4 linked regions of the Drosophila melanogaster genome follow. The protein of the gene in region 4 purifies or fractionates together with the protein of the main gene of each other region. This does not show direct contact. Each region holds a gene or a part of one and is shown on either strand. Other genes may lie near its edges. The genes, in order: Nop56, RpL24-like, Noc3 and Ns2.

What was found.
Region 1: the proteins of Ns2 (region 4) and Nop56 purify together in Drosophila melanogaster (affinity purification with mass spectrometry, with the first as the bait; one large-scale study listed by BioGRID). This does not show direct contact.
Region 2: the proteins of Ns2 (region 4) and RpL24-like purify together in Drosophila melanogaster (affinity purification with mass spectrometry, with the first as the bait; one large-scale study listed by BioGRID). This does not show direct contact.
Region 3: the proteins of Ns2 (region 4) and Noc3 purify together in Drosophila melanogaster (affinity purification with mass spectrometry, with the first as the bait; one large-scale study listed by BioGRID). This does not show direct contact.

Annotation. Positions count from the first base shown.
Region 1 is NT_033777.3:22,417,063-22,424,594, forward strand, and holds Nop56 (Nop56), read right to left. Parts: upstream 4,007-7,532; 5' UTR 3,895-4,006; coding exon 3,892-3,894; intron 3,729-3,891; coding exon 3,326-3,728; intron 3,261-3,325; coding exon 2,176-3,260; 3' UTR 2,033-2,175; downstream 1-2,032. Other genes in the region: lqfR (liquid facets-Related), read left to right, coding at 1-248; mats (mob as tumor suppressor), read left to right, coding at 4,527-4,540, 4,906-5,072, 5,134-5,612; pinta (prolonged depolarization afterpotential (PDA) is not apparent), read right to left, coding at 6,534-6,732, 6,790-7,019, 7,236-7,532.
Region 2 is NT_033777.3:11,429,093-11,435,451, forward strand, and holds RpL24-like (ribosomal protein L24-like), read right to left. Parts: upstream 2,491-6,359; 5' UTR 2,398-2,490; coding exon 2,317-2,397; intron 2,247-2,316; coding exon 1,752-2,246; 3' UTR 1,648-1,751; downstream 1-1,647. Other genes in the region: Sptz (spastizin), read left to right, coding at 18-447; Dtd (D-aminoacyl-tRNA deacylase), read left to right, coding at 990-1,032, 1,088-1,178, 1,247-1,479, 1,535-1,644; CG5276 (uncharacterized protein), read left to right, coding at 2,887-3,848, 3,903-4,200; Exd2 (exonuclease 3'-5' domain-containing 2), read right to left, coding at 4,464-4,872, 5,080-6,207, 6,270-6,359. UniProt on the Drosophila melanogaster protein: Involved in the biogenesis of the 60S ribosomal subunit. Ensures the docking of NOG1 to pre-60S particles.
Region 3 is NT_033777.3:7,242,495-7,250,684, forward strand, and holds Noc3 (nucleolar complex protein 3), read right to left. Parts: upstream 4,476-8,190; 5' UTR 4,390-4,475; coding exon 4,381-4,389; intron 4,329-4,380; coding exon 2,716-4,328; intron 2,658-2,715; coding exon 2,034-2,657; intron 1,978-2,033; coding exon 1,755-1,977; 3' UTR 1,738-1,754; downstream 1-1,737. Other genes in the region: CG14607 (uncharacterized protein), read left to right, coding at 134-180, 232-1,347; CG10053 (uncharacterized protein), read left to right, coding at 4,756-4,802, 4,872-5,625; CG1227 (uncharacterized protein), read right to left, coding at 5,791-5,907, 5,963-6,097, 6,156-6,750, 6,811-6,926; Dtwd2 (DTW domain containing 2), read left to right, coding at 7,384-7,463, 7,526-8,190.
Region 4 is NT_033778.4:17,563,741-17,571,911, forward strand, and holds Ns2 (nucleostemin 2), read right to left. Parts: upstream 4,717-8,171; 5' UTR 4,589-4,716; coding exon 4,379-4,588; intron 3,992-4,378; coding exon 3,313-3,991; intron 3,255-3,312; coding exon 2,119-3,254; 3' UTR 2,041-2,118; downstream 1-2,040. Other genes in the region: CG43324 (uncharacterized protein), read left to right, coding at 45-245; CG46428 (uncharacterized protein), read left to right, coding at 697-978; CG14480 (uncharacterized protein), read left to right, coding at 1,168-1,363, 1,424-1,584, 1,648-2,040; POSH (plenty of SH3s), read left to right, coding at 5,324-5,437, 5,506-5,614, 5,782-7,426, 7,494-7,673, 7,733-8,026, 8,088-8,171.

The sequences.
Region 1 (7,532 bases), on a different chromosome or scaffold from region 4:
ATGCCGAGGCCCGCGTCCGAGCGGCCACATTGCAGCTAATAGGAATCGCCTTGGTAACCACACCAGCTCATGTGCTGGCCCAGCACTTTGCGGAGTCATTGAACGAACTGCAGCGCTGGCTGAATGACTTCATAAGATCGCCATTGGTGGGCGGAGAGACTTCGGAGGAGTGTCGTGAACTGGCCCAAAGCATTTTGGACACCTGCTACAAACTCTTTGATACAGCCGCCATGGAACAGGCTGCCTAACTTGGCCATCAAAAAGTTTTGAAAGCAGCCTATAGAGTTTTAAGAGATTTAAAATATTAAAACTGTATTTAAAATACACTAAGCATATTTCTTGTTACGGAAAAACGAACAATTTTTTACTGAAATATTTCCGAATTAATATATGATATATATGATTAAATACAAGATTACTTCATACTTTACATCAATTCTCATACAAACGTTAACGCTGTGTCCTTAAACATTTTCTTATAATTGTATAAACTAATAATAGACTCGAGAGTTAGGTATTTGCTAGAAATAAGACAACAGTTCTAGGAATTATTTTTTAAATATCTATCGCCCTCGAAGCCATTGTATTCCAGGTATACATATATGGATTTACTTCATTTATACTACTTTCTTTTGTTTATTTGTTTTTCTCCTACTGCATATTTGTATTGCAAACCACACACACATTGGATCCAATATTATTTCTCAAATATATACATACATATGTACTTAATAATGATGAATTGAAAAGCATTTCTCAATATTCCGGGCATTGTGCGGCCTCCGCAGCCACGGACTCATTAGGTAAACCAATCCAAAACGGCAATAGCCACATAACAGATACGAACCTATTCTTTCCTTCTGTAATTGCACTTGATTTGCTGCGCAAACGCTTCCGAGTAGTGACCACCTCATTAGCCGATCACCAAGTAGCCGCATTCGCAATTCTATCGAAGCCACATATTTAAAACAGCTTTTTGTGAAACCAAAATAAAAACGAAAACTGAAACCCCGAATAACATTATTATTGCATTTGTTTTTTTCCAGACAATATGATGCCTCCCATTCCCGCCGTCACGGGCAATAATCTGCTCCAGCCCATGTCGGTGACCAATAATAACAATAATACCAACGGAGGCGCAGTCCCCGCCGCTGCCAGTGTCCAGTCTACCGCTGTGGGCGCCACCTGGTCGGGCGACCTGAAGGGCGGCAAGATGAACATTGACCTGGACAATCTGCTGATGAGCAAGTCGGGCAAGCCCAGTGCCCCGGCCCCTTCGATGAATGCCCTGAAGACCAACAGTCCGGCAAAGGCGCCACTGAATGTGCAGACGGGTGGCGGATTCCCTGGACTGTCGCCAATGACCAGTCCGAACATTTTTGGGGCTCCGGCACCGCAGCAAAGCATTCCACAAAACCAATCAGCATTTGCCAACTTTGGAGCTTTCCAGCAGCAGCAGCAGAATCACAGCAATAATAACAATAATAGCTCGTCGGCATTCGACTTGTTTCAATGATATTTTTTAGCCTAATTTAACCCAACCAACCTACTACCCAAAATGTCCACTCTCACATTCACATTTCCACGATCGCTAAACTTGTCAGTTCTATATATTATTTACGTTTTCCTTTCCCCTTGCTGTACAAAGTTTGCGACACGTGCAATTTGTTTCTAAATTCGTTGTTAAACAATTTACCCCCGATGCAATTTTCCGGATCAAACCCATTAATTCCACATCCGTCCTGATCGTCCACTCGGAATTTGAAAGTCGTCATCAAATGCAATACACAGAGTAGTTGAATAATGGTTGTACTAAACGGATTCGTTAGCACAACGCGCGGACGGACGGCTGAGCGATCCAACATTGAAATTGTTAAACAAAATACTACACGTAATAAAATCAAACAATTTTAGCAATAGTTAACGTTACGATGTGTCTGTATATAAATTGAATGTAAAGCAAATATGAAATATAAAACAATTGAAACCAATAATTATGATAGTCTCTTGATTTAAAACGCAAACTCATAAAATTCCGGTGGGAATACCCTCCAAAGTATATGTTTATTATTATTTGAAATGCGATCCATCAGGGGGTCAAAGGAAATACAAAAGAAGCATGTAAGTAAAAGATAATAGTGTGGACTTAAACTAAGTTGAATGTAACAGAGACATTTACGCCTCCACCGCTTCCTTGTTTTTGTTCTTCTTTTTCTTCTTCTTCTTTGGCTCTCCATCATCGTTGCCATTGCCATTTTCCGCCTCGGCGGCTGCTCCGTTTCCATTACTGGCGCCATTCGTCTCGCCCTCGTCTTCAGCCGCTCGCTTCTTCTTTTTCTTCTTTTTCTCGGACTGTACAGTGATTGCCGCCTCTTGACCAGCTGCCTCGATGGCCTCCTTCATTACCTCAATGTTCTTGCGCGGCACATCGCCGGACTCGTAGAACTTGAGGCGATCTTCGACCTGTTGCTTAAGAGTTTCGCCAAACACGCTAGTCGGCTGTTCCAGGAAGCAATCGATACGCGACGCGATGGAGCACTTGTTGGCCAGGAATCGAGAGATGCGACCCTTGTTCTTCAGGCCAGCTCGACCAATGAACGAGGAGTGATAGATAAGACCATACTTGGGCGTATTGGAGCGGGTCTTTAGAGCACGGAAGAGCGCCTTCTCGGCACCCAGGATTTGTACTGTAGATGCTGGGTACTTGGCCAGATTAGTCAAGCTGCCGGCATGCGATATCAGGCGGGCACCGACCTGGTCGCCAATCAAAGACTGCAGATTGGGTGCCACCAAGTTCATCTTGTTGTGCAAGTAGGTAGACAGTTTCTTTCGGTACTCGGAAAGCTTGACAACGCGCTCTGCGAACAGCTCAATGTTCATCAGATCAACAATGGAGATGTCCATGCCCATGGACATCTTGGCGGCATCAATGATAGCCTGAGCCTTGGCGGAGTCCATGACGATCTTCTCAAGATCCTCCAGCTGGTCTTGCGTGAGGTTCTTGCGATCCTTGATGAACTTGGCCGCCTTGGCGAACATGTAATTGTCGGGAACGATTTTGACCAGTTCTGGGAAGTGATACGAGTACCACTCGCGTATCCGCATAGAGAAGGTATTTACGTCCTTATCCAACTGATCCAGCAAAGCAATCGACTGGATGATCATGTTGTCGGAACGATGAACATTGAACTTGACCTTGGCACGCGAGTAGCTGTGGCCCAGACCCAGCTGAGCAACGCCAGCGGACTTGTCGGTGAATCCTGCATCGGATGGAGGAGGCTTTAGTTAGACAAAGAGGATTTTCCTTGCAAAGCAGGTAGCTTACCCTTGACCAGCTTAGCGAAGTGGAATCGCACGCCGCGCAGAATCTCAGGAACCACTCCAAAGTGACTGCACTGGACGCCAATGGCCTCGGTGATTGCAGCTCCCAGCTTGGCATCCGCAATACCCAGGGTGCACTTCTTCTTCTTCAGCTTGGCAAAGAAGTCATCCAAGAAGGAGAGCAGATCCTGCGGCACTATGCCCTCGGATATGGCATTGATGTTTTCCAGTGCGGCAATGGCCGTCTTGAAAGGTGCAAATCCAGCCAGCTTAACAATTGAGTTGAACTTGGCGAGGTCCGTCACCGAGGACTCCACCTGGGGCAGGAACATGGACACCTCTTCGAACTCCTTGACGGAGAAGAGCGAGAAGCCCGCCGCATGCTCGTACAGCACATACAGGTTCGACTGGAGGCGGGGAAATGAAAAATTATCAGTCTGATGCGGTGGCAGACACATGTGGTTTTGGGTGCTCCGCGTGTGTAGGTTAGTTTTCGCAGGGAAAACATTTTCATTTCACGGGCAACCCGCAGAAAATTCAAATATATGATTATTGCACTGAAATATTTACCATGTCTATGCCGAATATATGCCGATTTAATTAAGAAATATATATTTTTATACACCCACGATGCTGCTACAGTTGTTTTCCCACGTGCTTACTTCAAGTGTGACCATAGCAAGCCGATTGCGAAATGTTAGGGACATACCAGATAAAATACCGCAGTACCGTACTGAATTATTTTAACAGGCTGGCCACGTTGATAGCCTGATAACCTGTCGCGTTGTCCCTCTCGCACTTTCATCAACTGTCTCTGTGTGTGAAAGCAATTTTATTTTTATTTATAACAAATTTTTTGCGTTTATAAACACAACAGAATTAACTAGTTGGCTCGGCACACTTCCTGGAACCGCTCGCATCAGCTGTTGGGCTACGGCACTAGTTAACAGACCGACCAACTGGAGGCCAGATACAGATACCATCATTGTCATTTCCCAATTGACCAGAGAAAGAAACCTGCTGCGAATTCCAGTCACTTTTCTTTAATTATTATTCGGCGCTAATTGTGTAAAAATCGGCGGAATAAAGCTGCTGACACGACACAGAAGAGCCGAAAAAGCGGTGTGGCACTCGCCGGAAAAGTCTACGCATAGGAAAATTCCATTGGAGGCTCAGTGAAAGGCGAAGCACAGCAATTGCATGCCATGGACTTCTTGTTGTAAGTTCTCAGGGGGGCAAAACGTAGTGCAACTGCAATCCTTTCGAGCACAAAGAAAGCTTGGATCACCCCGCCCCACATCTGACTTTCCGGCTTTGTTTGCCCTTTTTGGGGTGATATCCCCAACCTCTTGTACAGTGGAACTTCCCTAATTTTGTCTGCGGTGTTTAAAAAATAGCTTTTCAAAGATATCTTGCATTCTTCCTCAGTGAATTTAAAAAAAGAAAAAAAAAGGAAATATTTCTTTTAGGGAGTGTAAATTGAACGAAGTCGCTTACGTTTCAATCTATAGAATCTTTACTGTATTATGTTTTACTGAGTGGGGCTGTTTGGGGCCGCGACTTATTGCCTTTCTCTTTCCACAGCGGTTCCCGTTCCAGCAAGACCTTCAAGCCCAAGAAGAACATCCCGGAAGGCACACACCAATATGATCTCATGAAGCATGCGGCAGCCACGCTGGGATCGGGAAACCTGCGCAATGCAGTGGCCCTTCCAGATGGCGAGGATCTCAACGAGTGGGTGGCCGTTAACAGTGAGTCTAGTATAGTGTAACTAGCGAAAGATAACCAATTCTTATTGCCACTCCTTCGCAGCCGTGGACTTTTTCAACCAGATCAACATGCTGTACGGCACCATCACCGAGTTCTGCACCGAGGAGACCTGTGGCATCATGTCGGCTGGTCCGAAATACGAGTACCACTGGGCCGACGGTTTGACCGTAAAGAAGCCCATCAAGTGCAGCGCGCCCAAGTATATTGACTATCTGATGACTTGGGTGCAGGATCAGCTGGACGACGAGACCCTGTTTCCCTCCAAGATCGGCGTGCCGTTTCCAAAGAACTTTCACTCCTCCGCCAAGACCATACTGAAGCGTCTGTTCCGCGTGTATGCGCACATCTACCACCAGCACTTCACAGAGGTGGTGACGCTTGGCGAGGAGGCCCATCTCAACACGTCCTTCAAGCACTTCATCTTCTTCGTGCAGGAGTTCAATCTGATTGAGCGGCGCGAACTGGCCCCGCTGCAGGAGCTCATCGACAAGCTGACGGCTAAGGATGAGCGGCAGATATAGGAATCACTGCATGGAGCCGCGAATTTTCGCGATTCCGGCGGCGGTGGTGGTGGTCTGCGCTTGCAGTTGGACTTGTGATGAAAGCGCTCTGGCAGACTCGTGTATTACGCTTTAGTTAGTTACCGCCAATACTTTTATGTTTCGTTCATTGCTTCATGGGGTGCCTCCCACTAAACAAAAGAAAACAAAAAACCGCCAATTGGCAATGTGAACCGAACTATAGCGGGCTAATTGCTGATCCAGAGCAACTACTATATTTTTATATGTGAAACGTAAAAACGTATAAATCATATTTATATGTATATGTAAAGGAGAAAACAAAAGCAGCAAAAGCAACAGCACGCCTTTTATAACTAACACCTCCCGCTTTCGAGAAACAACAAATATTACGTTCACAAACTATGCGTGTTTCCTTGTTTATCGTTTTTCTTTCTGTATGTATTCTATGTATTTATTACTATTAAACTATCGCTAATTGCTCGCGGTTCAGCGGATCAAGCGATTTTGTAATGCAAACCCCAGCAATTTGAGGCGACGGTCGGCAGCACCCAATAACTGATAATAATTGTAGACTTGATAAACATTTTTGATACGTTTTATACTAATAAAGAGAATATTATGAATAAACTCGTCTCTTTTTTGTTTGGTTTATCGTGTATTGACACTTTATTAAGCAAAAAAAAAAAGATAACATTGATGATTAACACAACGAAAATAACCTTTTTTAAAAAGGTTTAACGTAATGACTTATAATATATACAAATATGGTTAAGTGGGGAATTAGGGAGTATTTGTAGTACCCTTCCATAAAATATGACAACTGATATGCGCCTTTGTGCATTTGCGCATTGTAAATGTTTTCGACTAATCTATAACATTCGGCTAATCGCCTTGTTATCACTGCCGCCACACTAACCCCAATCACTTGAGCTTGCTTTTGTATTTGTCTTGTTCCACATAGAAATCGGCGTTCTCCTCGACCAACTGCTTCCACTTCACAGACAGCTCCATATAGCTTAATCCCTGACCACCGAGTTCCTTTGGCAACTGATCGCAGCTCACGGATGTTCCTTCACGACGCACGAAAAGTCGCGATCTTATCTTGGGCGTCATGAATATTCTAAAAAAAATGATAATATATAGTAAATTCTAATTTGACTTAGAACATACAACCCACCTAAAGGTGTTCAAAAAGAAGTTCACATGGCGCGGGGCGTTGGTGAATTCCAATAGCTTGGGCTGACATGGATATGCGGTCCAGCTTTCCACGGATCTCTTGATGAGCTTCGGATTCATTTGAAGAGCGTGCCCCAGTTGAACGCCCTGCATATCCAGAATAGCCACCATTCCGCGGGCACAGGTCTCCGGATCGAGCTTTAGCAGCAGGTCCAATATCATTTTGCTGGTCTGGGAAACAAAGGTTGGAGATATAAGTATATGGAGGAAAAAATGTGGACGAAACTTATCGTATTTCATATTATTAAAATGTTAAGTTATTTTTTATTAAAGCACGAAAAGTTCGCCTTCATGACTATGTTTAATTTGTTAGCTACATATAGTTTAAGACATTTCATAAAATCGTTGTATTTTATTTTTTCCTGTGTACATATTTCCATGACTCACTTTAAAAACATTGTTCTGGCTGTGGAGCTTGGGATCGTGTGCTGCTGTGCGTATGACCACCACCATCCTTTGTTCGGCATCCGGACCGATGGGTAGGAAGACGCCCAGCTTGAGTAGGTCCTGGATCTCGGGCAATTGGGGATCGCGATTATCGAACCATTCGGTGCGCTCCGCCCGCATTTGGTAGAACGTTTTCAGTTTCTTTTTGGCCCGTTCCACATCGAACTTGGAGGTGCGGAGGAAGAAGTGCAGGTTCTCGAAGGTGTTGCATCCGTTGATCTGCGGATTGGCGACGAG
Region 2 (6,359 bases), on a different chromosome or scaffold from region 4:
AATTGTTTTATTTTTAGCATTATGCAGGACTTCAAGCTGGCTGCACTTAAGGTGTTTGGAGCCACTGCTAAGTACCTGTCGAGAAATCAGCGCTTGGGTGAGGTAGAGCGTCTGCTGGACTGCATAGGAAGCAACAACGGCGGAGACATTTCCACGGAGTCCGATGAAATACTCTCGATTGCCATTAATGCTGCTGTGCACAGCAGTGCGCCGGAGACGAAACAGATGCTGGATCGGTTGATCAAACGCATCGGCAGCGTGGAGCTACGAGTCTCCTCCTACATCTACATTGGGCAGCTTAAATCCGCCTATCTGCTGGCCAACAAGCACGATCGATTGGCGGATATCCGGCGAATCCTGCGGCAGGCGGAGCTTACCGGTCAGGTTCACATCAAGAAACTGTGCGATATGAAGCTCCAGCTAAGCGCCGCGCCAACGCCTCTGTGATATCCCAACCCTCGAGCAATAACACATTAGTAACCCCTTGTTTCTGGGATTTACTAGCTGTGAGAAATACCAAATGATGAATTTGTAGCTTTGAAAACTCCTGCATTCTAAAAGACAATAACATATCTAAGCAAATTCTCAATTTTGAGATTTAGATGAATATATATTATTCGGAATTGGAATTCATCTTTTGATTATTCACCTAGTGAAGGCCCAAGTTGTTTTGTAACTGAGCTAGCATAGATAATTTGTTTTTAGAATTTAACATATATGTAGATCAATTTTAATCTTTCCAAAGGGCCAGCAAGTATTCCACCCTCCAGCTCAAAAAGACTCTCCCAGCATGTAACCAAATTATATTATTGATTGTACTGTATTTTATATTTATTATGTTATTTTTATATTATACTGTTATATGTTTATTACCCAGAAAATGCGCGATATTTTTGAATTCTTGGGGCGACGGTCAACACTGCTCGTGTCAAGTTTACCAGCACTGACAAAGATCTAAATAAGTGGTAAATAAATAGAATAATTAAGAAATGCGTGCGGTTATACAAAGGGTTAAGGCTGCCAAAGTGACGGGTATGCAGGATCAAATAGTTACCATCTATCATATAATTTTATACTGCTCCCCTAGTGTTGGATGAGCTGGTGTCCTCCATTGGACCAGGCCTGTGCGTGCTGGTGGGAATCAAGGCCAGCGACACCGCCAAGGATGTTGAGTATCTGTAGGTAAATTCCACTCTGGTGATAACCACCTTAGGTTTAGACCACCTAACACAGCTTACCATTCAAGTGTCCGGAAAATCTTGGCTCTCCGTTTATTCGAGGAGGAGGGCAAGCGTTGGCAAAAGTCCGTGAAGGATCTGAACCTAGAACTGCTGTGCGTCTCGCAGTTTACACTGTATCACCGCCTTAAGGGCAACAAACCGGATTTTTTGGCTGCCATGAAGGGCGAGGAGGCGCAGGAGTTGTACAATCAATTTTTGGATCGCCTAGGTCAATCCTACGATAGCACCAAGATTAAAGGTGAGTGATAGGAACACTCCAGCTGGTCATGTTTTAATCTCACTTACTATAATAGATGGCAAATTTGGAGCATACATGCAAGTGCACATAGAAAACGATGGACCCGTAACCATTAATTTGGAGTCCCCCGAACAAAAGGATACTGACAGAGAAGTGGACAAATGATTTGAAAATATATAACAACCAAAGACAACATTTATGTACCACGGGGTTTTTATATAATGTATTTTTTAGCAGCAACTTAAACTAAGAAAAAATCAGCGTACTCGTCCTTAGGCTTCTAACATCTCGAGATCCTCGACCCCCATTCCCTCCTCCAGTTTCTTCTCGAGTTCGCGTGCATCCACGTAGGTGATCTTCTCCTCGGGCAGATCCTCCTCCATGAGGGCGGCCTCCTCTGCCGCCTCCTGGGCACGTCGTTGCTTCAGCCCTGCGGCTGGGGAGCGAATCAGGGACATGTTGCGCTGCACATCCTTGACGTCCATCTGAATCTCGACCTGGCGACCCTTGCGCAGTCGCTCCATGACAAAGTGGCTGGTGCGTTTCTCCTTAATCTCCGTCACCCGCTTGATGGCCTCCAGACCCTTCTGCCAGGTCTCGCGGCTGTATTTCATGGGCACGTTGCGGCGCTTCTCGAACTCGAAACTGGGATCGATGGCCAGCTCCTTGCCGGCGGCCTTGCGGTACGCCTTCGTCCATCCTACCTTGCGGGGATTCTTCTTGCGCTTAAAGGCCTTGTGACACTTGCCTCGGCAGAACTTGAAGACCTGCGACGGAATATGGCGAAGCAATATAAACATCGGAGCACATGTAAACAGGAAAGCAAATCGTTCTTACCTTGCAGTCATTTCGCACGAATTGCACCCCGTGGCCCGGGTATATTTTGCTAGAGCAAAAATAGCACGTTTGAATGCGCATTTTCGCAATTTACGACGGATAAATTACGAAAACAAAACAAATGCGCAAGCTGCTAGCACGTGTGCTGCTGAAGAAGAAGAAATATGAAAATGTATCGGCAGTCAGCAGTGCGACCAGTCACTGCTTATCGATAACACTGGCTAACATGGAAAATAGCTAGATGTAGACAAAAAATATCCAAGCAAGAAATACGTATAAATTGCAAGTGACTGCGATACCAGTTGACAGTTGTATTGTTTTGATAATTTCAATTACCTTCGGTCTTTGTCCAAATCATGTTTTTCCCAGTATGTTTACATTAACTTAAACTGAATTGTTGCACCTGTTTCTCGATAACATCGCATGCGCTCGCCAGTTTGCACCAGCTGTTGCGCCAGCTGATCGCCCGCTCATGCGCTGGTCACACCGCCAGCATCCAAACAAACAGAGCAGCAGACCAAGAAAATCGGACACATCACCGCGAACGAGATCTTGCTGACGTGCGACCAGATGCAGAGCCCTGCCTTCGCGTACCGGGAACACGCAGAACACTCGCCGCGCGCCATGTACATGCGCGACTGGCGATCGGCCCTGCGGACGCCCACGTACCGGATTGGGAATCGGACGGTGCGCTTTAACTATCACTTCGCCCTTCTGATTGTTTGCGCCTTCGTACTCGTCCTACTCTTCTACTTTGCGCGCCAGGGATCGCACTCCTCCTCCGACGGCTACTGGCTGCGCCGCAGTTACACGGATGCCCGGAGTCTGGACAATGGTGGTCCAGTGGTCCAGGCCTACAATGCCACATATCCGCTCACGTCACCCATGGTGCTGCGTGGCGGTGTGATAAACTACCGGATAGCCATGATTGCCGATCTGGACACCAGTTCCAAGGTGAGCAAGGGCGATGGGAGCAGCACGTGGCGTAGCTACCTGAAGAAGGGCTACCTTACCTACACGGTGGCCAGGTCAGAGATCCAGATTAGCTGGGATGACGGGGCGCCGATAGTCCTGGAATCAGCATTTGCCCTTAAGGGCCGCGGAATGGAGCTATCTGAGCTAGTCACCTTCAACGGGCGCCTGCTCACCTTCGACGACCGAACGGGTTTGATATACGAGATTGTGAATGACAAGCCCATTCCCTGGGTGATCCTGCTCGATGGAGACGGACACAGTGCCAAGGGCTTCAAGGCCGAATGGGCCACAGTGAAAGAGCAAACGCTGTATGTGGGCTCCATGGGCAAGGAGTGGACGACAAGTGCGGGTGATTTCGAGAACAATAACCCCATGTACGTAAAGGCCATCACTCCGTCCGGCGAGGTGAGGTCGCTCAACTGGGTGGACAATTTCAAGCAGTTGCGCCTGCAGTCGATGCAAATAACCTGGCCGGGCTACATGATCCACGAGAGTGGAACCTGGTCAGAGGAAAGGAATCGCTGGTTTTTCCTGCCTAGGCGGTGTTCGAAAGAGAAGTGAGTAAGCGTGTCAGCCTTTAAATCCTTAACTCATCGATCTATCTTTGAAAGATACAACGAAACCAAGGACGAGCACATGGGCTGCAATGTCCTGGTCTCCGCCGACGAAAGCTTCACCAACGTTGAGACTGTACGGCTCGATCCTGAAAATACAACGCCCACGCATGGTTTCTCTAGCTTTAAGTTCTTGCCCGGCACCGATGACTCAATAATCGTGGCTCTTAAGTCGGAGGAGTTGAATGGCAAGACGGCCACCTTCATCACAGCCTTCGATATTGCGGGCAAGACACTGCTGCCCGAAACGAGGATCGAGACGGACTACAAGTATGAGGGATTCGAGTTCATTTAGCTCGCCATTCCAAGCTACCGCACTCCACTCTACTTCGATCCAGGTGCTTCAGTTTTAAACGTGTACATATTGTATTATTGTCCCATACGGTAAGCTTTATATTTATAGTCACCTAGATTAGTCCAGAGATGCTCATCTGCCTCATGAACCGTGACTCCTTGTCCCGTCTTGTACCATAGCACAAAAAAAAATTTTAGTTTATTTTTATTAAAATTGAAATATAAAACGTACAAAGCCGGTGGCAAACTCAGAAAAGCCCTGCATCACGTTTCTTTAATCTTCGCATCCAATCCGGCCACCATAAGATCGGCTTTATCGATGCGACCCTCGCTGGCGCGAACTTCCAGTCGATCGGCATTGTGGTTGACATTCCAGAGTTCGGGCAAAAAGCGGGGCTGCATTGTGTGCAGAAAGTGCTGCCGCCATAAGCGCTCCAGCTCCACCAGGCCGCCGAAATGATCGCGATATTGCTGCACCACCCGCTCGCCATGCTGACAGTAGTCGGAGTTTTCTACGCGATATTCCACGCTGGCTGCTTGCCGCAGGAGATCTTCTGTGATGTCCGTTTGATCGGAGTAGTAATCGAGGAGAGTCTTTTCCATTTCGGCCTTCTTTGCAGCGGGTATTTTCGCGCCATGATGAAGTAGTGCCTTGCCAGCGGATTGGACTCGTCTGGAAATAATAAAATGCAATTCAGATTCATTGAGAACTCTATGGAGATTAATTTTATCATATATCAGGGTATGTTTTGGAAAGTTAGGTGATAAAAAAGAGGCAAAATATGTCTGGTAAGATAACTGATAAGGCAATCTACATTCCTCGCAATGTATAATTTACTTTTACTTTTAACTTAGTTCTGAAAATGTATGGCATACTTACTTGAGCTGCGGATCATCATGGTACTTGACAGATCCGTCTTCCTGCTTGAAAGGAGCTTCGCACTGCACGGCCAGTTTGCTGCGAACCCTTAGATCCGAGATGTTGCTTAGCTGGTGGCAGGTTGGGCACAGGAGCAGCACATCGTCGGAGGTGTGAGATTTCATGACCAATGGGAAATGCTTTCTGTATTCCCGCGGTACCACGTTCTTCCGAATGTACGCATCCCGGTCACCACACACCACGCACTGGTTTTTCTTGATTGTTTGATAGAAGCGCCCCACATCTCCGACCGCTCGACCCGCTGGCTCGAAGTTAAGGCGGACAGTGAAGGGCTCTTCGCTTATATGCGTGCCCAGATTTTGATTGAGATACCAGGACGCCTTGCGCCTGTCAATTGTACACAGGAGTTCGCCATCGGGCGCCTGCAGCAGGCAGTTATCGTAGAAGTCTTTGGTTCGGGTAGCTATTTGCCGGTACGGTTGCTTCTTGGGCACCCATTTATTGCTTTTGGATTGGGTGGAGCCCTTTGAACGAGTTACTCCGCTGCCGGACGGGTTGAGTGTGAAGCCTTTCGTGAAGTCCACGTCGAGAAAGGGTTCGAATTTGTTGTGCATGCTATTGTCGTCCAGTTGCCTTCGTTGCCAAAAGTGTTTTGGCTGCAGATCCCTGCACAATTTTTGATAAATGGCCACCGCCATAAGTGCGTCGTTGGCAGCGTAATCAAGCTGTTTTGGCTCCAAAGTCTTGGCCTCCCAGTTGGAGCAGGCCAGGCGCCAGTGCTTGTCCAGTGTATAGTTCAGGTGAGTTTTGGAGAGCTTTCCCAGTCCCTCAGGTTTGTGGCCTGCCATTACGCAGAGGAAGCGCAGATCCAGTGTGCTGGCCACGCCTACTCCATAGTCGTGCGAAAGTTTCATGGCATCCTCCTGGGGTGCCACGCCCACTTTGATCACGGAATCGTCCTCGAGAAGCTCCCGCAGATCCTGGGGTATTTGTTTCATATGGCACAGTCGGAATAAGGCACATAGACCCCGATGGGAGCTCAATTGGAGCAAGGCCACTGGCCTGCGGCTGCCGCCCACGGTGATCCACTCGCAATCGAATCCAAGGACTTTAAAAGTCTGGCAGTGACTAAGAGGCAGAATATATATATATATTTCCATTGTCGTGAAATTAAAGTGGTTTTTACTTACTTCTTCAGTTCATTCAAAACCCATTGCGTGGTCGGATCCTGGACGGAGTTGATCACTTCTATGCGTCGCTGGGGCACCAGGCTGCCGAAG
Region 3 (8,190 bases), on a different chromosome or scaffold from region 4:
CCATCGCCATCGATGGCTGCCAGGGCGTTCATTTCGATTTGGTGCGTCGCCAGTTCCACAGCTCGGAGCAGATCTTCGCCAGATTCCACGGACGGTTAGAAAGCGTTAATGTTGGCCCGTCTCTTTATTCCAGTTTTGGTGTTGCTCTGGAGTGGCGGATTAGCCCAGTTGCAAGTCCAGGTAAGCTATAAGGAGATTCTCTTTTCTTAACTGTAATCCGCGCTTTTATAGGCTCAAAGTGGATACAACTATGGGCGTCCCGAGGTAGCCAATGTAGGAGGAGCCACAGCTGGTGGTCGCTTGACACCTGCACCATATCCAACAGCACCAGCCCTGCCACTTACTCCCGCTCCGGCTCCTACTGCATATGGAGCAGGCTTGTTTCCCTCACCCGCTGTTGGATTTACGCCAAGTGGACAGGCTACCACTGCTTTTGGAGCACCCGCCATTGTAGGAGCCACAAACCCCGTTAACCCACCGAGAAGAACTTCATCTGGCGGATTATCTACCCCATCATCTCGCAGTGGACCCTATGGACCGCAGGCTTCGCAGTATGGAGGTACTCCCGGTGGATCTCCAATCCGAGTTGCTAGTGGAACGGGAGACAGCGGGGACTACAACGATTCCGATGGAGACTACTCGGCCATTCCGGGTGTTCCTGGAGTGGATTATCCTATTTATGCCCAGGTGCCGCGCACCAACTTTGACTGTGCGCAACAGCCCCTACCCGGCTATTATGCGGACATAGAGGCCCAATGCCAGGTGTTCCATATCTGTGCCCTCAACCGGACCTACTCCTTCCTGTGTCCCAATGGCACAGTCTTCAGCCAGGAGACATTAGTCTGTGTGTGGTGGAACCAGTACGACTGCGTTTCGGCGCCCAGCTTATATGCGAACAATGCCTATATCTATGATTACTCCGAGAGAAGTGGCTCCAATCTGAGAACATCGAATACCAACAACGTCTACCGTCCGGCCGCTTCTTCCTCGGCTGCCTTCGGGGCACCTCTGGCCACGACTGGAACACTTCGAGCCACCGGAGTGTCTCAGGTTGCTGGATATAACTCCGGCCGGGGGTCCTATCCTTCAGCCACGCCCACCCCAACCGCTCAGCCCCAAAGCCCGTATGGCGCTGGGGCTGTCCTTCGTCCCGCCATTGTCCCGAGCACTGGAGCCAATCGATTACCGCCATCGGGAGCTGCTGTCGGGCTTCTGGCCACTGCCGCCGGAGCTCTTCCCGAGAGTTCAGTGGCTGGATTCGGGCAACAGCAGTCGGGCGGGAATAGAGAGTATCTGCCACCAGCTAGCGTTGGACAACAGCGACAACGAGGAGGCACCAATGCATAGGTAGCGAATGAAAAATTCTGGCGAACCCCTGGGACTTGTACCCGGTTATATGACACTACTCTTAGTGACTCTAGACTTAGCCTCTATATAGAATGTTAGGAGCTCCAAACATAATAACTTGTAAAAATCCCATTAATTGAAATATATTACAGAGAAGTTCTAAGCAAATGAATGGTTTCATGTTTTAAAACCAACTCGCACCTTTCTGATTTAACAACAAATTTGTTCGATTATTATCTGGCTAATCAAATCCTGGTATCACACTTGGTATTCTCTTCCTTTAACTGAGAACGTATTTGGAAGAATGTTTAATATTGGGAAACAAGTTGGGTATTGTTTAAAAATTGCATTTCTTTCCACACTATTCCGCAGTCATTATAACTCTACTTCAATCTTCAAATTTTTCTTTATTGAAGTGCACTGAAAAAATCAATTTGTAAGGTTTGTTTATCCTTCGTCTGTGAAACTTTTCCTTGCTGCAGCAGTTTTCCGTACTCCTGTTTGAAGTCCGAGCGAATATATAAGTGTTTGCCCCTTTTTAGTTTTGGTTGACCCGCTTTTGGCAGCGGTATTGTCGGATTGAAAGCCATCTGAGTGCTGTCGAATTGCGTAAACAGCTCGTGGGAGGTACTAAGGAAAGTAATAATTGTTAGAGTCACATATGTAGTTGCCGTCTTATTACATACAGTTTGCCAATTTCCGTGGGCAAAGCTCCCTCGCCCGTTGCTGGCACTCCATGAGCAATGTGAACGGCCATCCGTCGCACCGTGGGATGATAGTGACGTGCCAGAAGCGCAAGCTCATACAGCGCTGTGCTTGCTGCGTTACAGTACTCAGGATCGTCCAGTTCGGGATCGTAACGACCAGAGCCTATCGTAGTGTCTGTATCCAATAGGTTGTCAAGCACAGAAGTGAGCTGGAAGGTTTGTTTTATTGTGCCAAGCGTGGCCAGGGTGCCATTATGGAGCAGATGCAGACTTCCAGTAAGCAAGCGTTTCATGAAGGCCATTAGACGCTGCTGGCTCATATTGCGACGACGCTTTACGAGCACCTCATCCAAAGTTCGCAAAATAATGGCGAAGTCATCGTGATTTTTGCCTGCCTGCACCGCCAGCATATTTCGGTAAAAGTGCTGGTAGAATCGGATGGGGTCGATGTTTAGCACCTCACCCTGGCCGGAAAGGATAACGAATATGGTCTGAACACAGTGCAATCGCTCCCGGTAGCCCAGCTCGTCTTGGTCCTCTAGAATGCGGTTGAGCACATCGATTAGATCGGAGAAGAAGTCCAAATTAATGACGTGCGCAAACCTAAAAATCATCCTCTATATTTAAAATTCCAGGAAAGAGATTTACAATAACCACTCACTCTGCCAATCCTTCTAGAATAGCGCTCAGCACGCGGGAGGTGGGATCGTTCTTAAGCACGCGGAAGTAAATGGTAAACACCATCTTTATGATCTCGGTGAGCTTCTGATGCTTTGCTTGCTTGTTTTCCTCGGCACGGGTTTCCTCTAGTTCTCTGTTAACCTCGGTGAGCTTCTTACGTCTTTTGCGCTCTTTCTTGGACAAGCTTAGTAAGCGTTGACGATGCGACTCAAGCTTCTTTTGCTTTAGCTCATTCTCCTTTTCGGCATCTAGGTTTACGTTCTTGATTTTAAGGCCCATCAGACAGGTGATGCACTCCACATGAACATTGTTCTGCTTCGTTTTGATCAAGTGATTGATGCGTCGCACTATAAAAAGAGTCATTTCTAACCGTTTGTCGTTGGAAAAGACTGTGCGGAAGCACTGATGGACCGCCGTTCGCATCTCTGCATAATTGCAATTCAGCATATACACCAGAAGCTGGGCAATGTTTTGAACGTAGTTAAAGTATGGATGTGCCACAAGCAAGTCACACATGCACTGTACTGCCACGGTGGCCAACTTCACAGTCTGAGGCGTCCTTAGACCACCTCTCCTGTTAACTTGCGCTGTGATCTGTTCCAGTTTCTGCAGGAACTTTTTAAACTGTTGAAGCAAGGCGTTTTCAAAGGTTACACGATCAAGAGTGGCCTTGCGAAGCGTCTGCATCTTGGTGTCGACCTGACCCACTCGATACTCGGGCAAGATATCTTTGAATATCTCGGTGACAGAGATTATGGCCAGCTTTCTGACGGCCATTAGGTTGGCCTGTCGACTGGCTGGGTTGATTTCGTCCATGAGTTCGTACAGAGCATGAAAGTTGCGCATCTTATCCTCTGGCTTTTCGAGCAGCCCGGAACAAATGATTCCAATGCGATACTTCTGGCGTTCGATCTCCTGCTGCCGGGCAATAAGTAGATCCGTGGTAGAGATAAGTTTTTGGACGGGAGCGGCGGTGGCGGCCTCGACATCATTGACCACATCGTCATCGCTGTCCTCATACTCCGTATCACCGTCTTCCTCGGAATCATCCTCCTCTTCTTCTTCATTCTTCTTTTTCTGCTTGGGCTTAGGTATGTAATCCACCTCTGTCGTACGGGTGATAATCTGACCATCCCTGGACTTGATTGGCAGCAAATCCAACTTTATTTTTTGCGCGTCCTGCTCTTTTTTCGTGTCAGAGGCATAGGCCCTTTCCAAGCCGATGGATTGTCCTTGGTCAGGATCATTCTCGCCGGTCGTCTTGGCCTTTCGCTTGCGTTTGTTAGCCTGGAGCAGGGCAAGATCATCGCCATCCAGCATGTCCGCAACGTTTTCAAGCATCTCATCGTCGCCATCCTCGTTGTCTTCCTCGAGCGGATCCAAGCCCAGGGAGGCCAATTTGTTGTGCTTTTTACGCTGTGCTAAGTTGTCCCGCTTTCTCGCCTTTTGGGAGAATATATTCTGACCCTGTTCGCGCTTCGATTTCAGTTGGTCGCGCTTTTGCTTCTGTTTTTGTTGCTGCTGCTTAGAAAGCGGTGTTTTTTTCGACTTCAGGTGAGCAGCCCGCTTGACCGAGCTGATTTTGACCTTTTTCTACAATGATTTGGATTAGAATAAGCATTAAATAATTTTACTTTCCACTTACAGTTCCCATTGCACCCGTTTTAGTCAACTAATAGTTAATTTTCACAAATGTTGCCTTCTGAATGGGACGAGCACATGGAACGCCAACGGAACTGTCCACTCGTCAGCGGAGCGCAACAGCTGCTCAGAAGCGGATAGTATTTTGTTTAGTATCTTACATGCGCTTACTTAAAATACTTTGTTTTTGAAGAAATAAGTAAATGACACAAACTGGCTGTTTTTTTTATCACTAAACAGAACCAATACTATAAAATACAATTTTCGGAACTCAATCTTCATAGCAGAGATATCATTGTTATTATAAATTATCGAAATAATGCTGTAGATAACTATGCAATGGTCACACTTAAGTGAGAAGTGTAAACAAAACAAACAGATGTCTGACGAGGAGGAGGATTATATGTCCGACAAATTCCTGGTTGGGTGAGATTACACTCACACCTAACTAACAACCAACCACCTTATGAAAAACTCTCATCCTTCCCTCATTAGTCTGCAAGATGTCCGACCGAGTTTGGTGCACAATCGCGGCAGAAAGCGGCAGATTGAAGTCGAGTCCAAGAAAGATGAGCTGAAGAAGCGCCAACGGGAGACAGCAGCTTCTTCCGGGAACGTAGACAATGTTCGCCTTCAACAGTCCCTCAACAAACCAATTTCCGCCGACAACAAAGGATTCCAGCTACTGGCCAAGATGGGCTACAAAGCCGGTTCTGGGTTGGGCATAACTTCGGATGCTCGTACTGAACCCGTGGGGATAACTATAAAGAGCGGTCGTGGAGGACTTGGGCGCGAGGCAGCCGTTGCAGAGTTGGCCCTCAAGCGGCAGAAGTTGCGGAGGGCACATCTCCTAAACAAGGCCGGCATTAAAAGCGACGAGGAAGTCAGTACAGAGGCTTATAGGAGGCGCGCGACCCATAAAGCGGAGGAGCGAAAATTACAGTATGACATAAAACGGTGCCAGCAGACCTGCGAATCGTTGGATCTTAAGTCCGCTATCACAGAACCAGATCTCGATTTCTTTTGGCCACCTAAACCAAAAGATGAAGATGAATCACAGAGCGACGCCGACGATCCTGAAGTCGAGGTGCCACCTAAGCAAGAACCATACAGTCCCTCGGAGCAATTAGAACTCCTCACTGGCTACCTGCGCACAGCCTATTGCTTCTGCTATTGGTGTGGGACCCATTACGATGACGCCGAAGATCTGGGCTCCAACTGTCCAGGACTCACTCGTGACGAACACTAGCTCCAATCAATAAAATAAAATAAAAAAACTAGCTTGATTGCTTACACATAATTTCATAAAATCAGCAGGTTTAAAATATTTTACAATAAGTAGTCAAAAAACAGTAAGCGGTGTATCTGGTTTGGAGGAATGTCTATAAATGAGTTGTAATCCAGTTAGTGGGAGCTACAAGCGACCCTCCAGTTTCTGTATCAGATCGTGGGTCCTTTCGATAACACTAAACACGAATGGCCGTTCCATTGGATCTGTTCGCAGCATGTACTTAATTAATTCGTGCATGTCCTAGACAAATATTTGGAATTAGTTTCCTTTACAATATAAAAAAAAGGTTTATTACCTCTGTGTAAATTGAATCCTCTGGAATGTTTATGTTCCCACTGAGCACAGCCAAAGCCACGCTGTCACCTCGCTCGTAGATGGGATCGTAGGGTGAATTAAAGTAGCACATTGCATAGAGCACACAGCCAAGACTCTGAAAGAGGGAAATGTTAAGGAAGAACTTCAATAACGCTCTCTTGGATCTGCTTTACCCATATGTCAGTGCGCTCGTCAATTGTGCAATATGTTTTCACGGTAAATAACTCTGGAGCCCGGTAGACAATGGAGCTCCTCTCCTCGGCTTCGTCCTGCAAGCGCTGAGCATCCGTCTGGCCCACAATCTGCAGTCGGGCTTCTGTCATTGACCCGAGATCCACAATAATTGGCTCAAAAGAGTCCGACAGGCAGATGTTGGCCGTTTTTAGATCTCGGTGGGCCAGAGGCACCGGCATTGCCTCGTGGATGGCCTTCAATCCCTCGCAGACGCCCAGAAAGATTTGCAGGATCTGGGCCTCGGGCATGTGGTCCTGTTTCCGCGATCGCAGCTGAAGGTGGTCCGCAAGAGATCCGTGCTTGTAATAGGGAAGCACAATGAACAAGGTGCTCGTTGTGTTTATAACTATGTCCGCCTGGCCCTTCAGCTCGTAATCCACTACCCGGATCACGTTTTCCGAGTCAATTTTTCGACAGTTTTCGATTTCTCGCAGAGCTATATTCTGATCATCGATGCTGTGGCAGGTGATGCGCTTTATCGCATAGCTACGTCGCGTGGAGGCGTTTTCCCCAAGGTCGATTAGACTGAAGCCCCTGTTTAAACACTCAGATTAGATATATCAGAGGAGATAGTGGGAAAAATGTGGTACAAACCCCGTCGCCAGCCTTTCGCGGATTGTGTATCGAGATCCGTTTATGTTCAGGGTCTCCTTGCGGCAACTAAAGAGGCAGCCGCGTTTCATGATCAGCGTCCATCCTATACTCTGCATTTTTCTTAAATTATGCTATGTACTTCACAACTTTAAGCTTAACAACTAGTTCAATTCACATACAAAATCTAAATAGAAAACACAAAGCTGAAGTGGAATGTTTATACTGGAACGAATTTATGAAGTTCGGTGATTTTTAACCATATTTGTAAGATTCTATATTAACTTTAACTTTAAAAACTAGGCACTTTCGTATTATTTTTACGATTTTAGTTTCTTGACGTATTAATAAATTAATATTTATTTTGATTCCTTGGTGTATAGATTAAAGGAATTCAAGATTCTGTCATCGCATAATCGCAATTTCACTGCACTCCAAACAGCTGATTCGAAGACAGGGCGGTCATATTTGCCATGTGGCTGTGTGCGTTGCCACCTAGTTGCGAATTGTTGCTTACGGATTTCTTATCGTGCGGAATATAAACTTAGCATTTTTCTAATTTAATCAATTATAAGTATGGAGGATGACGCGTGGCTGGACCTCGTGGGCATCAGCGCCGATCCGCCCAACAGACGCAACAAGTGCGAGAAATGCAAGTGAGTGGTGAAGCTGGGAATCTGCCATAAAAATTAAAGTATTTTCATGAACTCTATTATAGACGACCCGTGGTTGTTTGCTGGTGCCCGGCTTTACCGCATCCACCTGAGGCGGTGTCCTCACAGATTGTTATACTGCAACACCCTGCAGAGGAGAAGAGATCGCTACGCACTGCACTGATGCTGCAGTTGGGTTTGGAACCGGGAAAATGTGTCGTCTACAAAGGCAAGCGGTTTCCAAACCATAGAAACCATGCTGATCTGCAGAGGATTTTGGACTCTCCACAAACACTGCTTCTGTATCCCAGTCGGGACTCGGTCCCACTGGAAGAGGTGGACCACAGTGCGGGTCCTTATACACTGGTGCTCATCGATGGTACCTGGCCTCAGGCTAAAGCCATTTACGCTAGCAGTCCGGCTCTACACCGCCTGCGACAGGTGAAACTCATCGCCGTGGGTATAAGTGACTACATCATCCGTACACAGCCTACTGAAGGATGCCTTAGCACACTAGAGACCGCTGCGCAATGCCTGGCAGTGCTGGAATCTCGGCCAGAGCTGAGGCAAACGCTCGTGCGACCGCTGCACACGCTGTGCAAGTACCAACTAGACAACGGAGCCGTGGAGCACCAGTCCAAGGAGTTTCTATTGAAGAACAACCAGTACCCCAAGCCCATTGGCAAGCGGCTCAGCCGTCTGCTTAGAAACACCGCCTGCGATGGCAATG
Region 4 (8,171 bases):
CAGCAACCACCATAGGTCTCGCGGAGACAGCCGTCCTGGACATAATGGCTGCTAATTTGCAACAGCAGCGCTCCATCAACTTGCAGCTACGGCGGGAAGTGGAGATGGAGCGTATGCCCGTCTCGGTGGCATGCTCCTTGATGATGAAGTACATGTTGGAGCACGAGGAGGAAGACTGCCTGCTCAGCGGCTTCACACAGAAGGTGAATCCGTTTCGCGAGAAAAGCTCCTGCAGCATCCTGTAGATTCGGATACATCATGATCCGGACCCAATCCTAACAGTATTATCCTATAATGTATACTCAATCACGGCGAAGTTCAGAATCAGTCGTATTACCTATTTGCTGTTCGTTGTAAGTGTGCTGACCTCAATTATGTCTATAAACTAAGTATATACATTGGAAACGGACGAACCGAGAATTTATGGATGTATAAACAAAATACGAGAAACCGTCTTCACCTAAAACGCCTGCATATGTGTGTATGAATATCGTGTATTTTGCTAATCCTGTAGCTCTTTATTGGAGAATTTAGCAAAGCCCCATCCTATATAGATGTTTCCTATTGAGATATTCCTGAAATAAAGTCATGTAACCAGTGATTTTCATGTGAAGGGTATTTGTTTCGATTTACCTGAGGAAGAATTTTCAAAATTTCAGAATGTTCCGGATGAGTGTCTCGCCTTTACCATGGACAATGCGACCAAGCAAGTTCCCATCCGCTAATCCCTACTTTATTTTCTTTGACCACTTTCGGATTAATCTTCAAAAGCGGGACATTTGCCATCTGAAACCGATTTCCTTGGCCAAAATAGCCGGCAGAAAATGGCGAGAAATGACAACCGCCCAAAAATCAGTTTTTGTGCAGATAGCCGAAATAAATCGAGCCAGGCTTAGGGCCCGTGGTCGCCCCAGTGTTCCAGTTGGTAGAGTAAGGCGCTGTCATATTAAAAGAGTTTATAAGGATAGTTCATTTTAGTGGGACTTGGAAAGTTTTTCAACGTTTAACTTAAAATGACACAGAAGCATTAGCAATTCCCGCCACTAGTTCAAATTTTCACGAGCCACTACCAACACTTCTATATCATCGCACAGCTGCTAATTCGACGTTCACCACACTGGCAATAGTTGTGGTCTGTAAAAAAGAGCAATTTTACGAAAGTACAGCATGAGTTCGGGCTTTGTGACTGAAGCTGAGGCGACCGAGCAAAGGCAGAGACGTCAGGAGGAATGGGAGCGTGTACGCCAGCCGGAGGATCCACTAGAACGACCTGAGGAACCCTACGATGGGCGCTCACTTTATGAACGCCTCAAACAAAATAAGGACAAGAAGGACATGGAGTTCGAGGAAGCCCACAAGCTGAGTAAGACTATGCCATAAACAATGCAATCTGGCCATCCTAACATGCGTAATATACGTATAGAAAACCTCATCCGTGGTCTGGACGATGATGAGGTGCAGTTTCTGGAATTGGTCGATGCCCATAAAATACACGCGGAGCGCCAGCAAATGCGCGACGAGGAGCTAGAACTAAAGGATTTTCGCAATCGTGTGGAAAAGCTGCAGGAGGAGAGTGTAGACAAGGTGGGTAAAGTTACAGCAACAATCAATTGATTTTACAATCACCCGAACTTCCGCAACCCTCAGAAACTGCAAGCTGAACTAAAAACCACAGCGAAGTCCGCGGGAGCTTCGGTCGGGCGTAGCACTCAGAAGACGCTGCTCGGCCAGGGCATCAAGAGAAAAAACGGCGAACTGCCCACCACCAGTAAAGTAGCCAAAATCACTGAGAATGAGGTCGAACAGACAGCGACAAATGAAGCAACCAAGGACCCTGCTGATAAGACAACGAACACCACATTAATTACAAACAAATACAACCAGGGGGCCCTAAAGTGCATCGCTATACTTCCGGGCATCGGCTCCTACACGGAGTCTAGTGACTCGGAGGCCAGCACCGATGAGGAGGAACCCAGTATGTGCAGCCGAACCGACTTATGTGGCCGCAAAATTCCCAAGAAGAAGCAGTGCTCAGAGTAGGATCAACTTTTTATTTGGATTCTTAAAGTGTAGTTTTTCCTTGCAAGAAAATATAGCCTAGAGTGTAAACGTAATATTTTACGCGTCCTTCTTTTTGTTTCTATTGCGATTCTTAACATTTGTCGTCTCGTAAAAGTTGCTGCCAATCTTCTTGCGTTTCTGACTGCGCTCCAGGGAGCGTTTTTGCTTTGCAGTCAACCGAGGAGCCTTTGAAGTGCTGGGTCCATCGTCGTCAGAGCTGCCAGCACCATCCGAATCACCAGGTTGTATTTTGGCCACTCGGAATTTACCAGACGATGTGATGGCCAGCTGTTGTGGCTTCTTTGACTTGGCCTTCTTGTGCACAACGCGTTGCAAGTCCTCATTGTACTCGTCCTCCGAGTAAAACTCGTCCGCTCCATCGCTAGACTCCTCGTCCTCTTCACCGAGGTTGTGGATGCGAGCCTTTTTCTTTGCCGCACGCTCGGCCTTCTGTTGCTCTAAAAGCTCTAGATCTATGTGATCAAGATCCTTCACATCTTCCTGCTCATACTCAAGACCCACGCGTATTTTTCGAAAATCTTGGATCTGCTTAAACTCGCGCGCCTTCTTTACAGACTCACTGACGAATGTAGGTGCCTCGGATTTAGCATCTTCGTTGGGATCCTCTGCAACTACTTCCTCCTCCTTACCCTCCTGGGATTTGGGAACTGCGAATCCTTCGGGTGGAACGTAGAAAGGAAGTTTGCCTCGTTGCCAATCGTTAAGCACCATACGGGCTGTTACCGTAACGTCCGGTTCACCGCCTTTTAGCAACTTGCCGGTCTTTTGAGCCAACTGTTCTAAAAAGTGCGTGGATGTGTTCCAGTGTTCAATTTTGTAGTTCTTTGAAATGTACTCCGGACGCACGCGTTTCAGCAGAGAGTCTACGTAATCTTCAGGATTTGTGACGAGCTCCACCCGCACCACACCCTTCAACACTTTCTCGGTGTCAGTCTCCGCGGTGGGATACACCACGCCAGGACAATCGATCAAGAAGATGCGTTTCATTAGCGTTATATACTGCCATACTTTCGTCTCCCCCGCAATTGGTGCTACCTTGCAAACCTTTTTTGATCGTAGCGCATTAATAACAGAAGATTTACCCACGTTGGGATACCCAATGAAGCCCACGCTGATCTGTTTTTTGTCCAAATGCAGTTTGCCCAACTGACGGAATAGATTGATGAGCGCACCTATAAAAATAATTGATTTTTATGACAAATAATTGATATTTTTACTTTATAAACTTACCTTTTCCAAAAGGATGTTGTAGGGAGGCATGGAAGGCAATAGTAGGATATTCGGCACTAAGAATAGCCACCCAACGCTGCGTTACCCACACCGGTACCAGATCAACCTTGTTCAGAATGAAAAATAGATGTTTGTGCGGTTTTTCCTTGCGCAAGAACTCCTCAATGTACTTCGAGCGCGTGCCCATGGGATCGCGGGCATCAAGAACCTGAAGCAGCACATCGGACGCATCGACCACCTTGTGCAACTCGTTCCAGATGCGTTTACTCTGCCCCGCACCGAACACCCAATCACGGACGGCCTTCTTTTCGCCAGTATCCTCGCGGATTAGATCTAAATCCTTAGCTGAATCGTACTTATCGGCCTGGTCATCGGCCGCCTTGCTTAAATCTTCCAGATCGCGAACCTTTAGGCTGACGCGCTTGCGCTGCTTTTTGGGCCCAAAGGTACTGTCGAAGCTCTCGGTGTCCAGCAAATGAACCCTTTTGTATTTTGCTGCCTCGTTCAGTAAAGTTACCGGTAACTGGGATGGCTTCATGATCACCTGGTAGGGATCCTTGACAGCCTTGCCAATCTCATCCTGGAACTTTTGCAAAGCAGTTTGCGAGATAACGCGGGAATTGCTAAACCACTTGGGCGTAGGCTCAACTCGAGCCATTGTTCCAGCAGGCAGGCGCCCCTAAAATAAAGCACATTTCCAGGATTAGTATGAATTATTAAATGGGTTGTGGAAAACATATTCGGCATTTTCTCTCTTGTATTTAATTTTTTCTTTTATATATTTACAACAAGAATGAAAACATAAGATTTGTAATTAAATTATTATACGGATAATAAGTCGTAACAAAATATACTTATGAAATCTTTTTATCTTTTAATGCTTTTAATTTTGAGTCGATCGTTTTAATTGCACCTTTGTGAAGTAGATGATAATTTTGAAAACTAAACAATGGTTATTGGATATTCATGTTGCAATAAATCCTTCCTATGTCTATAAGTGATGGTAAATCTTATGAATCCAAAGATAAGAATTATCGAAGATACATGTTGTAAAGCTAAATCTCACCTGGAAGGGGGCGGGCGTGAGGATCTTTCCAGTGCGATCGCGCTTGGCCTTGAAGTTACGGTACATCTGAAGCCGCTTGATGGTGCCCTTAGTGCGGGGGTGGGCGACTCCCTTGAGACCGCTTTTGGGGCGCTCCGGATTCATGGAGTGGTTTGAGTGGTTGAATCCCTGCGTCCGGGGCTTACCCGGGGTGCTGCGTACCTTTGGCATGGTGTCTCAAGAATGTCGTGTGCCTTGTTTATAAATCAAATCGTATATTTGAACACGATCAAACCAAACCACACGTGTTTTTATATGAAATAAAAAAACAAAGGGATCGTGCGTTTTTCAGCACTGTCTGGACTTAGTATCCAACACTAAAATGCGCTTCAGAAAATATCGACTACGAGGACTGGCCACACTAAAATCCCAACAGTAATAAACACCAGTTTGGGTACAACTTAACAATTATTTGCATTTATTAAATGCAACTATAACCGGGGCACATGTGGTATTTAAATAATTTTTTGCAAATTTAGTGAATTTAAAAAACATGTAGTACTCTCTTAGCTTCTTTCTTTTTGGTTAAATGTTATGGAACTACTATTCCTATTGGGCATATACTTATGACCATCACTGTGTTCAAGTATCAAGCTGGTTTTATATCCGTGTGCCTATGTACATTTGTATCCGCTTGGCCACGAGCTTTGGCTGCACTTGGCAAACTTAATAAATTAAACATTGAATCCTGCCTATTGCAACGATAATATAATCTGATTTAGTGCATTAAGAACGACAAGTAGCGATTATAATAGTAGATTTTAGCATTTGAGCTAAATTTATTTCCCAACCGCGTCTTGGGATTGCGTATGCGTGAGCCAGTACCTGCATGTGTGTGTGTTTTGGAATGTGGCCCTGCACGAAATTCAAATAGTGACCATCCTTGAGATTTTGCATACTGGCAAGATGGACGAGCACACGTTAAACGACCTGTTGGAGTGCTCCGTGTGTCTTGAGCGACTGGACACCACATCGAAGGTGCTGCCATGCCAGCACACCTTCTGCCGCAAATGCTTGCAGGTGAGTAATTGTTGTGGGTTTGCTACATATATATCATATAACCGAATGATTTCATCATTCTATGCCAGGACATTGTGGCCAGTCAGCACAAGTTGCGATGCCCGGAGTGCCGCATCCTGGTCTCTTGCAAAATTGATGAGCTGCCTCCAAACGTCTTGCTGATGCGAATCTTAGAAGGTAACAGCTAACGCCCACACCAACCTAAACTGGCACAGCACAACAGCCTACGCTCAAAATCAAAGAATGGTTGACTTTATGAGTGCGGCAAAGTGGCTTTGGCAATTGAATATGGCGTTTACCTGGTCTTTACCTACCTTTAAACACCCTTTCTTTAATTCTCACAGGCATGAAACAAAATGCAGCAGCTGGCAAAGGAGAAGAAAAGGGAGAGGAGACTGAAACACAGCCGGAAAGGGCCAAACCTCAGCCGCCAGCGGAATCAGTGGCCCCGCCTGACAACCAACTACTCCAGCTGCAGTCACATCAGCAATCTCATCAGCCGGCTCGTCACAAGCAACGTCGATTTCTACTCCCCCACGCCTATGCCCTCTTTGACTTCGCCTCCGGTGAAGCCACCGATCTAAAGTTCAAGAAAGGGGATCTGATACTGATCAAGCATCGCATCGACAACAACTGGTTTGTGGGTCAAGCGAATGGTCAGGAGGGCACATTTCCCATCAACTACGTCAAGGTATCGGTTCCGCTGCCCATGCCGCAGTGCATTGCCATGTATGACTTTAAGATGGGGCCCAACGACGAGGAGGGATGCCTCGAATTTAAGAAAAGCACTGTAATACAGGTAATGCGCCGAGTTGATCATAATTGGGCAGAAGGACGAATTGGCCAGACCATCGGAATCTTTCCAATAGCATTCGTTGAGCTGAATGCAGCGGCCAAAAAGCTGTTGGACAGCGGGCTACACACCCATCCATTCTGCCATCCACCGAAGCAACAGGGGCAGCGGGCCCTTCCTCCGGTTCCAGTTATTGATCCCACGGTGGTCACGGAATCCAGTTCGGGATCCTCCAATTCCACGCCGGGCAGCAGCAATTCAAGCTCCACATCCAGCTCGAATAACTGCAGTCCGAATCACCAAATCTCACTGCCGAATACCCCCCAACATGTAGTAGCTTCCGGATCGGCGTCTGTTCGTTTCCGTGACAAGGGAGCAAAGGAGAAACGCCACTCACTAAATGCTTTGCTGGGAGGAGGAGCTCCATTAAGTCTGCTGCAGACCAACCGCCATTCGGCTGAAATTCTTAGCCTGCCCCATGAACTAAGCCGCTTGGAAGTTTCCAGCTCAACAGCTCTAAAACCCACGTCAGCCCCACAGACATCGCGTGTACTTAAGACCACTGTTCAGCAGCAGATGCAACCGAATTTACCCTGGGGATACTTAGCCCTGTTCCCATACAAACCACGCCAAACGGATGAGCTGGAATTAAAAAAGGGTTGTGTTTACATTGTGACCGAACGATGTGTGGACGGTTGGTTCAAGGGAAAAAACTGGTTGGACATCACTGGAGTGTTCCCGGGCAACTACCTGACGCCCCTGCGCGCCCGCGACCAGCAGCAGTTAATGCATCAATGGAAATATGTTCCCCAAAATGCAGACGCCCAGATGGCACAAGTACAGCAGCATCCAGTTGCACCAGATGTGCGACTCAACAACATGCTGTCCATGCAACCGCCTGATTTGCCACCTCGTCAGCAGCAGGCTACCGCCACGACCACCAGTTGCTCTGTGTGGTCGAAACCAGTGGAGGCGCTGTTCAGCAGAAAATCGGAGCCCAAGCCTGAAACTGCCACAGCTTCGACTACGAGCAGCAGTTCCTCTGGAGCAGTGGGACTTATGAGGAGATTAACTCACATGAAAACACGCTCCAAATCTCCGGGAGCGTCCTTGCAGCAAGTTCCGAAAGAAGCTATTAGCACAAATGTGGAATTTACAACAAACCCATCAGCTAAATTGCATCCAGTACATGTAAGGTTAGATCCGCAATAATAAGTTATCTTTATAGACCAGAATAAAAGTTTAATTGTTTTGTCTCTTCAGATCCGGCTCGTGCCCCAGTCAGCTGCAGCACAGTCAACCGCTCAATGAAACTCCAGCAGCCAAGACAGCGGCACAACAACAGCAGTTCCTACCCAAGCAGCTGCCTTCCGCTTCTACGAACAGCGTTTCGTACGGATCGCAACGCGTGAAAGGAAGCAAGGAACGTCCTCACTTGATTTGGTTCGTTAGGCTTAATTTGAATGCTTTAACTTTTAACTGACTCTTGGATTTTGATTCAGCGCGAGACAATCATTAGATGCAGCTACATTTCGCAGTATGTACAACAATGCCGCGTCGCCGCCGCCACCTACTACTTCCGTGGCCCCAGCTGTCTACGCCGGCGGTCAGCAACAGGTGATTCCTGGAGGTGGAGCGCAATCCCAGTTGCATGCCAATATGATTATTGCACCCAGCCATCGGAAGTCGCACAGCCTAGATGCGAGTCATGTGCTGAGTCCCAGCAGCAATATGATCACGGAGGCGGCCATTAAGGCCAGCGCCACCACTAAGTCTCCTTACTGCACGAGGGAAAGGTGGGTTTTGCAATACATTATTGTGAGCTTAGAGATTTACTAATGCAACCTTTTATCGTAGTCGATTCCGCTGCATTGTGCCGTATCCACCAAACAGTGACATTGAACTAGAGCTACATTTGGGCGACATTATCTACGTCCAGCG